Oryza sativa Japonica Group: one gene and its partner. The protein of the gene in region 2 purifies or fractionates together with the protein of the main gene of each other region. This does not show direct contact. Links are inferred from orthologs where the notes say so. Each region holds a gene or a part of one and is shown on either strand. Other genes may lie near its edges.

Region 1 (6,492 bases), on a different chromosome or scaffold from region 2:
GCAATTCAGTCAGCGTCTCTTCTCAGTTCAGATAGATCGATAGGATGTAGTATAAAACATTGAAATTTCGTTTTTGGTTTGTCTTATCATTCCAGACAGTGATAGAATGTAGCAAGACTGAAATCGGTCATCGAATCAGTCCTGAACTCTTGACTCCTTTATAAACTGAACCCCAGTCCTCGTTAAGTATGGGTTAGTGCTGGCAGTGTGTTGCCCTAGCCTGAGGTCTCTGATATGGCAACTTGTCGCGTGATCAGTGATCGTCTCTGTCTAGCTGACATCTCTCCTGGATGAAATCAATCCAAAAAAAAAGAAGGCTTTGATCAGATAGATTAGGGTTCACACTTCACAACTCTGACGTTTCAACGCAGCGCGAAAGCAAATTCTGTTGGAATTTTTGAATCGTTTCAGAATTTTTCAAATTTGAATTGAAAATTTATGAAGAATATTTTAAAAATAACTTGTAAATAGTCCTACATTTGTAGTAAATACATGCATATGAAATGTCAAAAAATATAGGCGTAGAATGAAAATGCTCTTTGGACAACAACTGAATTGGTAAATTGAAAAAAGACATCTAGAAGGGTTTACAATATGTGTTGATTGTGTATGCACTTTATATTATGGACTTTGTATTGTTGTTATACTATGTTGTTTATGCACTTTACAGTATGTATTGATTGTGGGTGTACTTTGTATTGTGTTGATGTACTTTATATTATGCGTGTTGATGTTAATGGCGTAACATATATTTGGTTATGCATATTTAATTGTCAATGATATGGACTTCAAATTATCTTGTATTTGTGTTCATGAATATACATTGCGCTTATTCTCAATGTGAGGTTGTCAAATTGTAGGAAAGGTCATGCTGAATTTCTTTATTAATTTCTTACATTTTCCCACGTTTCCACGGTTTCCCCATTTTGATATCCTTTTAGTTTGCAATGTTCCTATCATCTCCATGAATTTTCTCATATTTCAAACATTTTCCCCTATTATCCAAATATTCAGAAAACACAATTAATTCCCACGCTACTCTTTGGCTTTTCAGCAAATCCAATGAGTTTTAGATGCTTTTGTTTGGTTTCCAAAACACTGGAACGGTGGTTTCCTGTTCGAATCAACTGAAATCCTGGTAGTTCCGGTTGGAATTCGGTGATTTTGATCATTTTTCATTGACGGGCAAATGGAACTTGAGAATTTGGCTTCTTAATTTTGTTTGAAATTTGACGGTTTTCGTGAAAACCGTTATACTGACAGGGTCAGGAGCGGGACCTCGATTGGAAATATAAACCCTTGCCTGTAATACGGTACAGCCGTACAGAATTCGTGTGGTGGCCACGGGCTCACGCACCGGGTCAGTGATAGCATCCAGTGGCCAATTTGGCCATGGAGATGATGCATTTTTTACACGGAGAATGATCCCAGAAACACGCATGATCTTCTCTTACAAGAATTTTCTAACAGAACATCCATTTCACCACACCCACTTGTTCAATGCAGCGCTGTTTTGTAACCCACATAACAACCGGACCCAGCACGTCTGAAACTAAGGTTACTCATCGGTTACCTAAATTAAAGTACTCCCTCCGTATTGTATTTTAATGTATGGTGCCGTTGACTTTTTTTATCAATATTTGACTATTCGTTTTATTCAAATTTTTTGTGATAATGTGAAAATATTTATGTCATGCTTAAAAAACATTTGATGATGGATCAAGTCACAATAAAATAAACGATAATTACATAAACTTTGTGAATAAGACGAATGATCAAACGTTAGATAAAAAGTCAACAGCGTCATATATTAAAATATGAAGGTAGTAGTAATTTACAGAGATGTTTTAGCGACCTAAAATTCTCAAGTTTGAAATTTTAATTTTTGGTTTTCATTTATGAGGACAATTGGGACTCTAACCACTCCCCCGGTCGCTTCGCGACGCGTCCGTCCCGACCTGCCAAATTCCTCGCACGGATTAAGCAAACCAAACTACTCGGATTAAATGCGCAAATCGAAAGCACGCGTTCCATTGGGAGACCGGCAAACTTCGTTTTTTCCTTCGAGAGGAACGGAGACGGAGTTTGCCGTCGTCGTGTGCGTGCCTCCTCGCGTACGCACATTTGCCCGCAGCGCCGCGGCGCGCGAGGCTACCCCGACCCCGACGTGGTCTCCTCCCACCCATACACCCTTCCGCTTCCACGCCCACACACAGAACCCAATTCCCCTCCCTCCTCCTCCACCCGCCCCTCCCTCCCACACACACCACACCACCACCACCACCACCCACCCCTCGTATGCAATTATTCACGCCCAGTCGCCGCCTCCACCGCCGCCGCCTGCTCGACTCACCACCGCAGGGCGGCCTCCTCCTGCCGCATGGGTGACTCGACGGTGGCCGGCGCGCTGGTGCCATCGGTGCCGAAGCAGGAGCAGGCGCCGTCGGGGGACGCGTCCACGGCGGCGTTGGCGGTGGCGGGGGAGGGGGAGGAGGATGCGGGGGCGCGCGCCTCCGCGGGGGGCAACGGGGAGGCCGCGGCCGACAGGGACCTCCTCTGCCCGATCTGCATGGCGGTCATCAAGGACGCCTTCCTCACCGCCTGCGGCCACAGCTTCTGCTACATGTGCATCGTCACGCATCTCAGCCACAAGAGCGACTGCCCCTGCTGCGGCAACTACCTCACCAAGGCGCAGCTCTACCCCAACTTCCTCCTCGACAAGGTTTGCTTGCTCGTTCTGCTTACACAGCCGAGATGGATAATGGATTGGCCGTGGCTTCCATATTCCGCCGATCGATTGGGAATTTTGGATGCCTATCCTAATTTCAAACGCAGGGCTTTGTAATTGAAATGTCACTGCCCCGCAAAAAAAAAAAATTGAAATGTCACTGAATGTACCTTTGGATGTGGCTTGGGATAGGTATCCGGTATAACCAATTTTAACAAATGTAGCAACTATTCAACAGTATGCCTTTCGATTCGTTTGTAGCAACTATTCAACAGTATTCAGCGCTTGAGCTGCGATTTATTGTACTACTGTTTGTGGTAGCTTCTGAAGTAGTAGCAGGTGTTCTGATTGGATAGCTCAGTTTTATTTGACTTGCACGGTACATTACAGTTTGTTGTTAATGTAAGTTTTGTTTAGAATCACCAGCAGTGGACAGTATTAGTTCTATGTCTGCTCTGGTTATCAGTACCTATTATATAATTTGTTCATCACTAGAGTTCTTCTCTAGTTCTGTTAAAACTTAAAACAAGCTGTAATTACTGGTTACTTGATACTGGGATTGTATAAATGTATCTCTAAGCATGTTTATCACATTTATGTCTGCATAGGTCTTGAAGAAAATGTCAGCTCGCCAAATTGCGAAGACAGCATCACCGATAGACCAATTTCGATATGCACTGCAACAGGTCAGTCACTTCACATGTTTTACTTTTGAAAATGTCTACTTTCAATAGCTCCTTAAACATAGTGGTATGTTCCTAAATGGTTTTATGTACTGTGAAAATTTTGCTTCCGTACCTTAGCTGTGCTTGTGATCTTCAGTTCAGAACTAAGTAGTACAGAGTAGTAATTAAGTTCTACACTGAACATGCTTATCTCTTGCATCAATTGTAGAATCTAAGCTACTGTGACCGATATCAAAGTATCTTTTGTTCCTTCGCTCTTACAGCCACATGATCTCTATCGTCCTCTTAACTGTTACAAGGATTGTCCATATGATAAACCAAGTATACCACAGAAGATAGATTTGCACTACCTTGCTGACTTTATATCTGTTTCAAAATTCAAACATAAAACTGACGTTCTCTAAATAAGTAATAGATGAATGATGACCAAACACTATCATATGTTTTAGTTTAATTCTTCTTTCTTTTTCTAGGGAAACGATATGGCGGTTAAAGAACTAGATAGTCTTATGACTTTGATCGCGGAGAAGAAGCGGCATATGGAACAGCAAGAGTCAGAAACAAATATGCAAATATTGCTGGTCTTCTTGCATTGCCTCAGAAAGCAAAAGTTGGAAGAGCTGAATGAGGTTTGTCTATATGTATTTTTCAGTATGCAGGTTTTTTTTCTTGCTACCTACAACAATAAATAATCTTTTACTGATGTCTATTGTTGTTAATCATGTTAACCTCTTTTTTACACAGATTCAAACTGACCTACAGTACATCAAAGAAGATATAAGTGCTGTGGAGAGACATAGGTTAGAATTATATCGAACAAAAGAAAGGTACTCAATGAAGCTCCGCATGCTTTTGGATGAACCTGCTGCATCAAAGATGTGGCCCTCACCTATGGATAAACCTAGTGGTCTCTTTCCTCCCAACTCTCGGGGACCACTTAGTACATCAAATCCAGGGGGTTTACAGAATAAGAAGCTTGACTTGAAAGGTCAAATTAGTCATCAAGGATTTCAAAGGAGAGATGTTCTCACTTGCTCGGATCCTCCTAGTGCCCCTATTCAATCAGGCAACGTTATTGCTCGGAAGAGGCGAGTTCAAGCTCAGGTTTGTTTCTCCCATTGCGCGCTTGATAGTTTGGTACTATCATATTGCAAGCATGTAGACAGCTTAGATTAGGAACTTATATGTTTATTTTGTTTTGATGTAAGATGAAATGCTAATGTGCTATGGGGCATATTGCAGTTTAACGAGCTTCAAGAATACTATCTTCAAAGACGGCGTACCGGAGCACAATCACGTAGGCTGGAGGAAAGAGACATAGTAACAATAAATAAAGAAGGTTATCATGCAGGACTTGAGGATTTCCAGTCTGTGCTAACAACATTCACACGATATAGGTCCGCTGATTATTTGTCCTTTTTAGCACATTATGATCATGGTAGTGGTTATGCCTATTCATTTGGCTTATCATTCTTTTGTTCTCTGTCATTTATGCTTCAGTCGCTTGCGTGTAATTGCGGAGCTAAGACATGGAGATCTGTTTCACTCTGCAAATATCGTATCAAGGTTAGTGCTTTTACAAAATATGTGCCTTATTTCATGTGCATCAACATGCTATTGGCAATGTGGATGTTGTCATAGCTGAATCCTCAAGCCAGCAGTGAGCTGAGGAGAGGTTTTGGTTGGAGGGGGGATGGTCTATTGCTCCTATGAGTCAAACTTCAACTATGTTCAATTAGCAAACAAATCCACTAATCTTGAATGCTGATGTTTATCATGTATTATAAGGAACAAAATATGACTATAAGTTTGTGCCTGTTTTTTTGGTGCATAATTTTCATTTCCATGTCTATCTGTAATCTCATATGTTTTTCAGTCGCCTACCTTACATGAGAATAGGGAATCACATTGATATTTCTTAAATGCAGTATCGAATTTGACCGTGATGATGAGCTATTTGCTACTGCTGGAGTCTCAAAGCGCATCAAAGTCTTCGAGTTTTCTACAGTAAGTTTTTTTTCAGGAATCTTATGTTGGCCATAGCTATATGCCTGTATAGTATTTGAAAATACTCAAATTTGGCCTATCTTATGTCGTAGGTTGTTAATGAACCATCAGATGTGCATTGTCCAGTTGTTGAAATGGCTACTAGATCTAAACTCAGCTGCCTTAGCTGGAACAAGTACTCAAAAAATGTTATAGCAAGCAGCGACTATGAGGGTATAGTAACTGTTTGGGATGTCCAAACCCGCCAGGTATTTCTTGCTCTGTTCCACAGTTCATTTTGCACACTTGTGTTATTTTCTGAACTTGGATTCATGATATTTATGTATTCAATCTTCTTTAGAGTGTGATGGAGTATGAAGAACATGAAAAGAGAGCATGGAGTGTTGATTTTTCTCGAACAGAACCCTCGATGCTAGTATCTGGGAGTGATGATTGCAAGGTATTTGCAAATTTCAATGGTACAACTACTTTTGTTATTCCCGAAAGCAAGAAAACTTTGCGTAGTTCTCAAAATACAGTAAAACATAACTTGGATATATCGCATGTTATGCAACATACTAGGATTTTATTTTATTTATCAGTTTTTCATGTCCCTTTTTCTATAATGGTGCATTTTTCTACCTAGGCTATCCCAACCTCATTGAATGCATAGATGGAAGTATCTGTATTGCAGTATACCTTATGGAACCTACTGCTGTTTGTGCTAGGTCAAAGTGTGGTGCACAAAGCAAGAAGCAAGTGCCATCAATATTGATATGAAGGCCAATATTTGCTCTGTCAAATATAATCCTGGGTCGAGCCACTATGTTGCAGTATGTTCCTTTGATTTTCTTGGCTCATATCAAATATAAGTTTTTTTTTCCTTACCAGATGTTACATTATTGCAGGTGGGTTCTGCTGATCACCATATTCATTATTTTGATTTGCGAAATCCAAGTGCGCCTGTCCATGTTTTTGGTGGGCACAAGAAAGCTGTTTCTTATGTGAAGTTCCTGTCCACCAATGAGCTTGCGTCTGCATCAACTGATAGCACATTACGGTTATGGGATGTCAAAGAAAATTGCCCTGTAT
Region 2 (6,492 bases):
CACCAGTTCTTTGTCCTTTTCTTCATCCATGATAATGCCCTGGCCTGTGCCCCGAATATATGAACTAAGTGCTTGCTTTAGCAACTCAATGGCATCAACCCTCTGGAAGAGTGTGTACATCCTCGAGAGGTCTTTTACACGATTTGCTTCCATAAGCATTGTGAATCCCTGAACAGTAAAACATCATATGCCAGGTCATGAATGAGACAGTGGCTAAACTAAATTAGTGGCCAACAAATATAATATATTGATAAAGTAAACACCTCTTTTCTATATATTGATCTAATGGGTCAACTAGAAAATGCACCATCACATTCTTATTCTGGCCAGATAACAAATCCTACAGTTGTAAGAGCAGATAATCACCTTCTCAAGAATTGCAGATGTGTGCCGCTGCAATAATTGCTTTTCTGTAGCTGTTATAAGCGGCTTCCTAGTGTTAGCTTCCAAATATAGAATACACCTTTCATGTTCTTCTTGCAACCTTGTCTGAATAATTCATGTGAAATACCACCAATTGCATAAGTATACCTGAATTTTGTGTGAACAAAATGCAAGGGGAAATACAAGAGGTTTATCAATACCTCCACATGCTTGAGATAGTCTGGAATATCAGACTGCTGCAAATATTTAACACCTTCAGTAGCATAAAATTCAGATGTACACTCCAGAAAGGGCTTTTCAAAACTCTCAGAATACATTCCAAGAGCAGTAAACATCTTCAGAAGATGACTAAGTAATGTCCTGTCTATTGCTTCACCAAGCCTGATAAGGAAGAGATGGTTAATGAATAATCAGTTACATAGAAGAATATAAAATAAATTGACCCTTCAAGTCCACAATTTTAATAATTTAAAATGGACCCAATACATACACTATGATCGCCAGCTACATCACACAAGGTAAATGCAATGACAAAACTTTTCTCAAGTAAACTGATTACTCTTTGATATGTAATGGAGTATACAATACATTGCACTAAGTCTGATAAGGGTACTTTTTACAGTTGACCATTCAACCCAGATCTCTGAACAATTCCCAAGTGAATCAGAACATGCATTACAAATTTTCATCATTCCATGTTTACGCCCACCCCCACCCCCCCCCCCAAAAAAAAAACACACACACACACACACAATAAGACAGGTAATGCACACAACATGGCTCAGTACAGCAGAGTAGGCATACCTCTCACTCTCAATTAATCTTAGAAGACCAGTAACAGTTTTGTGTTCAATCTCCGGAGACAGTGAAAGATGCTTGCGGAATAGCTTCAACCCCATGTCCCACACTGAACAAATGTTTGCAACATTCTTGACATATTTTACATCAAGAAGTAAAGCAATACCACGAATAATCAACATCTGATCGCAAAAATCTTGCCATGTTCTTTGCACCAGAGACAAAAATACTACTAAATCTGGACTTTGACCCACTAATGCTGATATTTTTGCCGATATGTGTACTTCACATTCTTTCTTTATGCGTTCGTATAGATTTGCGCCTAGCTTGTGTAGACAAAGGTCACCTGCAGCCTATAGTGAAGAAAACAAGTTCTAAATAACTAAAGTGGGATCATCAAATAGAATAGAAGCAATATAAAAATTACCTGGTAAAGTTTTTCAACATCGCACGAAAGTTTCTGTTTTAGAAATATAGCTGTAATAGCATCTTTCAAAATAGCCCATGTATCCTCCTCAAAGTTTGTTGGCAATTTTGGCTGACCTGATACATGAAAAACAGATGGGATATAATGAACAAAACAGAAAAGGGATGCAACAAGAGACGAATTCCGGGGTGGGAGTAAATCTTTAGTTCTTGTTCGGCAAATGGGTTATGAGAGGTGGGATCGGGAAAGGGAAATGAGTGAAGGGCTACAATGAAATGGAGTGGTTAGAATGGATGGCTAGGATGCAGTGTTGCATTTTTTATGGGTGGATATTATTTCCCAATCTCATTTGCCAATCACGCCAAAGGGTTGCAAAAAATACATCCAGAAGATCCCAGGGGTCTATTATCTAAGAAAGAACATATGGCCTTCTGAATTTTCTTATACAGGTTACTAGTTAGTTATGGTGGGTACTGATTAGTGAATAGTGACTGGTGCAGGGATTATTATTATATATGACTCAGAAATGAATAGATATTAAAGGTTAGAGCCACTGCAACATCCATTGCACAGAAACGGATTTTCAGCTTTCTCCTGAAGACTAGAGAAGGTCACATACTGGAGATGCGAAGCAAAGCTTCCAATAAATACCGACAGTTACACCCAATAAAGAGACAAAAGAGTGTCAACTTTTAAGCAATCTAGCTAGAAGCCAGCTCATATGGTGCAATACGACCAAATGGGGAGCAGGAAGTCAGAAGAACCATACAACTATGCCCAAGCTCACTTGTCAACTGCATTAAAAAAGGCAGAAATCCTTGATGCATATTCACGCCCAACAAAGCAAGCCAAGATAAACAAGCAATTACAAGGAATTGAACATACATATATATCTCAAGAGAAACTAGACGGATTGTTGCTGACGAAATCATTAGTTACCCTAGCAATTATCAATTTCCCCCAAAATAGTCCAAGTGTCTAGCCAAATTCCTCTTTACAAATAGACACGCCAATTAGTAAATAGAAAACAGAAGTGTGTGACGAAGCGATCCATTTGACGAAAGGGCTAACGAACACCACCTCAATCCCTCCCTATTATTGGAATTTAAGTTAACGACGCAAGCGGGCAAGTGAACACACTGAGAGGAACAATAGAATTCCCCTCAATTTACCCCCGAAACCCCTCGATGATGTATTCTCACATGGAAAACGTGCAATTACAGTGAAAGAGAGGGACCTATTTTGATTCGGAGGGGCTTGCGGGCGGCGGATGGCTGGGGGAGTGTGGCCTTCTTCCGGAAGAGGTTGGCGGCGACCCCCGCCGGGGCCGATGCGCTCGGAGCGGCGAGCTCCTCCTGGTCGGCGAGCACCATCTCCGCATCCTCCTCGCCGTTGGTGCGCCCACCGGTCCGGGCGGCGGCGGCCGTGGGATCGACGTGGAGCCCGTTCTTCTCGGTGACCCCGGGGGCGGCGGCGGAGGAGGAGGAGGAGGAGGAGCCGGGGAACTTGGCCTTCTTCATGTGCGGCTGCGCGGGGGAGGTCGGGGAGGAGGCGGCGGCGGAGGAGGAGGAGAAGTGGCCGGGGCGCTTGGGGGCGGTGGCGTGGGGGTGAGACATGAATCAGATGCCGAAGCGCATGGCGCGGCCGCACCGGCGGCGGCGGCGAGGCCCGGGGTAGGATGGGTGGTAGGTGGCGGCGCGCCGGGGTTTTGGGGGTGAGGCCGCCGCACGCCGGCGAGGAGGAGGTGGGGGAGTGGAGACTAGAGAGAGAGAGATCGGGTTGGGGGAGGAAGGGTTTCCCCTTTTCTTTTCTTTTTTTTCTTTTTTTTCCTTTTTCTTTTTCTTTTTTTTATTTTTTATTAGGTGGGATTTGCGAGGCCGTAGCGGCCCAAATTAAGAGTGAGAATGTGGGCCTGGAGTTCCACGCGGCCCAGTTTCCTTTTGTTCTCATTAGCCCAATTCTGTTGCCGCCGCCTTGCCCTCGCCGCCTCTGCCTTCTGTCGAGAACTCGAGATCGAGAATTCGAGATATCCACGCGCAGTCAGATATGGAGAACTATAATCTTCATCCCTTTGACGGGATCTTCTTTCGTTTGTTCAAAAAATTCATCCAAACGGTTATAAAAAAATTAGCAACACTTGTACTACATGCCTACTGTACAACCTCACAAAATCTCACGTACAGACTCAACTCACGCATCGAAATGTTAAAAAAAAAACTCAACTCACGCATCAAAATGTTAAAAAAAAAAGACAAATTCAGGTATGACTAATAGCTATTGTTTACATCTGATCGAATTTAAACTTAATTTTTATACCCATAGACACCGTTATGTATGTTGTTAATTCCTTTTAGAATTTTTTGTAACTATCTACATTAAATTTGGAAGAGAGAAGAGAAAGATATAAATTAAGTTGTGTTCAGGGATTAGAATCCATTCACACGCAAATACCCTACCTGTCTTCGTCGTCTTTCTGTCTGATTCGCCGGATTCGCGATCATTGCCTCAGCCTTTGGTACAGGGAAGGAATGCACCCACAGAAGTTACAAAAAGGTTCAGGCAGAAGAATAATACAAAATGAAACCCGTCCAATTTAAGCGCACAAAAAAAAAACAATTGCATTGCATCCCATAGTCTTCACCCGTTTCCTCACCATTTCTCGCTCAGCAGGCACACTGAATAAGCTTGGCCAGAAGCGCAAAATATGACAACAGATTTTTCGCGATCAAAATTCATTGCTAAAAACCGTTTAGCAACACAGCTGATAGATATACCCATCAGTCACACCCTCAAGAAAAGTGAAGCATTACAAACATGGAAGAATTGAGTGGTGAAAGCGAAACGTGCTCAGGTTCAGTGACAATTAAGGTTCGGTTGCCAATCCAACATCGCCGTTTTTTTGGCGCTTTGTTGAAGGTTCATCCTCTTCATTCGTTGCATCTCCTCCGGTTTCTGTCGTTGGATTATTTGGCTCGGCCACCTTTTCATCTTCGGTGCTGGCAGCACCGTTGATAACACGGTTGACAACGTCTGGACCTAACAGAGAAGCATGTTTACTTGTAATCTTCCGACCAGCTCTGATTTTGGGACCCCAATGACGTTCTGGGTTCGGAAGGAACCGCTTGACCTTCTTTGCTTGAGCCCTGCTGAGGGCAGCAGCCGCTCTAGAGAAATTTGCCTATGAAAACACAAAGGAAGTTAGAATGCCATCTAACTGAAAGGCATAAAAGGACTGCTGCACGTTCAAGAAATGCATACTTCAAGCTTGGGTGATTTTGAAAGGATCGCTGTCCCTACAGAGTCATGTGGTTGTTCCTTTACAGGATGATTCTTCACCTGTATGCGAATGTCACAATATTAGTCAGAATACTAAAAAAAAACAGCATTTCTAGTAAACTACCCACAATTTATACTAGCAAACACAATATGTTAGGAAAGTTATGGCAAAAGGAATAAATGAATGTACCCAGCAGCGCATGATGTCCCAAATAACATCCCAAGGGGCATCAGTTTTTAGTCCAAGTGGATTCACATGTGTGCTAGAAATCCGATAACCCGCATTTAGGACTGCAGATCGGAACAATACTGCAGATGGAGATGTGCATTTAACATTAGCACATATGTTGTGGAGACTGAAGAACAATGGGATGTCATGTAACTCCTGCATCACAATAATAACAAAATGAAGTTTAAAGAAAATTTTAAAGAGTTCGTAAACTATAAATAATTTCTCAAGAGTAAATGAGTGAGCCATGACAAACAAATGCAGAACTAGATGGCCAACTAATTTATTACTTGTACATGGTTTAACTAAATTACTGCACATTTGGGCAATAATTTTCCTGTTGAAGTGCTTTACATATCTATGTTCTAGTGAGAAATGGATTACCAAAAAGTCGTATTCCTTTCTGCCATTATTTATTTCCATCAGTTGCATGCCATGATTAACAGGTCCACATATCGAGGTTGTATTGATAAAATGGATTAGCAAAAGTCGTATTCCTAGCCACCATTATTTATTCTCTTCAGTTGCATGCAAATCGTGCTTTAGGTCAATATTCTAAAAAGAAAATTATTTAATGTGATGTTAAGAATAGGCAACAGTTTCACTTCATAGCAAATGCACCAAAACAGGCCATTTTAACTTCATCACAAATGCACCAACAATGACAACTTGATAAAACACAGATAACAGTCATAGCAATACCTCTGATATGGTAGTCAGAACTGAAGTTATCTTATCATATGCAGGATATCTATCCTTCATTGACTTAACTTCTGTCAAAGTAGACACTACCCACTCTTGGTCATGTATAGGAGCAGACCATATTGGCCCTCCTATAGTAAATTTCTTCCCACAGGCACTGCACTCTTGAGGAACAACAGGCCCAATGGCAGGCGCATTCTTCACACTGTTGTTCTTCAGTTCGGAGAGGACGCACAAGGAAAAGGGAAAGCTTCAGACTCAGCACAGATAGAATTGAGGTTGTGTGTGTTTGGGGGCTTGGGGGGGGGGGGGCAAGCATACCTTAGTTATGGTCCTACCAAGACACTGAAGATGAAATGAATCGCAACCAACACATTGATATACATAAGAAAGCTTTTGAGGAGTCTTCTTTACTTCGTTTGCAGAACTGCATAAGATTTCATTGTGTCAAATTTAGAAAGAATATTTCAACCAAGTACTGCACAAAAGAACATAGTCCTGTTGCATAAAGGAAAAGATGAGGGGAAAAAGGAACTCACGTAAATACTCGGACAAAAACACGGATGTAGAAATCCATAGACACAGAGAGAACAGGCACAATATATCGTTTGTATCGATTTGCATGACTCTGGTATTGAGAAATGGAAAAGATAACAAGAATCAAGATACATGAAGG

Evidence for each region. Proteins that work in one complex are often made in the same cells at the same time.
Region 1: the proteins of cullin-4 (region 2) and E3 ubiquitin-protein ligase COP1 purify together in Arabidopsis thaliana (affinity purification with western blotting, with the first as the bait; 3 studies listed by BioGRID). This does not show direct contact. The link is inferred for Oryza sativa Japonica Group from reciprocal best matches to the Arabidopsis thaliana genes CUL4 and COP1.

What each region holds. Positions count from the first base shown.
Region 1 is NC_089036.1:33,024,533-33,031,024, reverse strand, and holds the start of E3 ubiquitin-protein ligase COP1, read left to right. Parts: upstream 1-2,035; 5' UTR 2,036-2,380; coding exon 2,381-2,722; intron 2,723-3,336; coding exon 3,337-3,414; intron 3,415-3,887; coding exon 3,888-4,043; intron 4,044-4,158; coding exon 4,159-4,518; intron 4,519-4,656; coding exon 4,657-4,811; intron 4,812-4,914; coding exon 4,915-4,980; intron 4,981-5,342; coding exon 5,343-5,421; intron 5,422-5,513; coding exon 5,514-5,669; intron 5,670-5,761; coding exon 5,762-5,860; intron 5,861-6,128; coding exon 6,129-6,233; intron 6,234-6,308; coding exon 6,309-6,488; intron 6,489-6,492. UniProt on the Arabidopsis thaliana protein: E3 ubiquitin-protein ligase that acts as a repressor of photomorphogenesis and as an activator of etiolation in darkness.
Region 2 is NC_089037.1:33,640,555-33,647,046, reverse strand, and holds the start of cullin-4, read right to left. Parts: upstream 3,386-6,492; 5' UTR 3,226-3,385; coding exon 2,847-3,225; intron 1,726-2,846; coding exon 1,610-1,725; intron 1,536-1,609; coding exon 1,189-1,535; intron 766-1,188; coding exon 585-765; intron 490-584; coding exon 367-489; intron 169-366; coding exon 1-168. Other genes in the region: tRNA (guanine(26)-N(2))-dimethyltransferase 1, read right to left, coding at 4,473-4,787, 4,868-4,945, 5,076-5,270, 5,817-6,029, 6,138-6,243, 6,356-6,444. UniProt on the Arabidopsis thaliana protein: Component of the CUL4-RBX1-CDD (COP10-DDB1a-DET1) E3 ubiquitin-protein ligase complex which mediates the ubiquitination and subsequent proteasomal degradation of target proteins. Participates in the CDD complex to light-mediated control of development.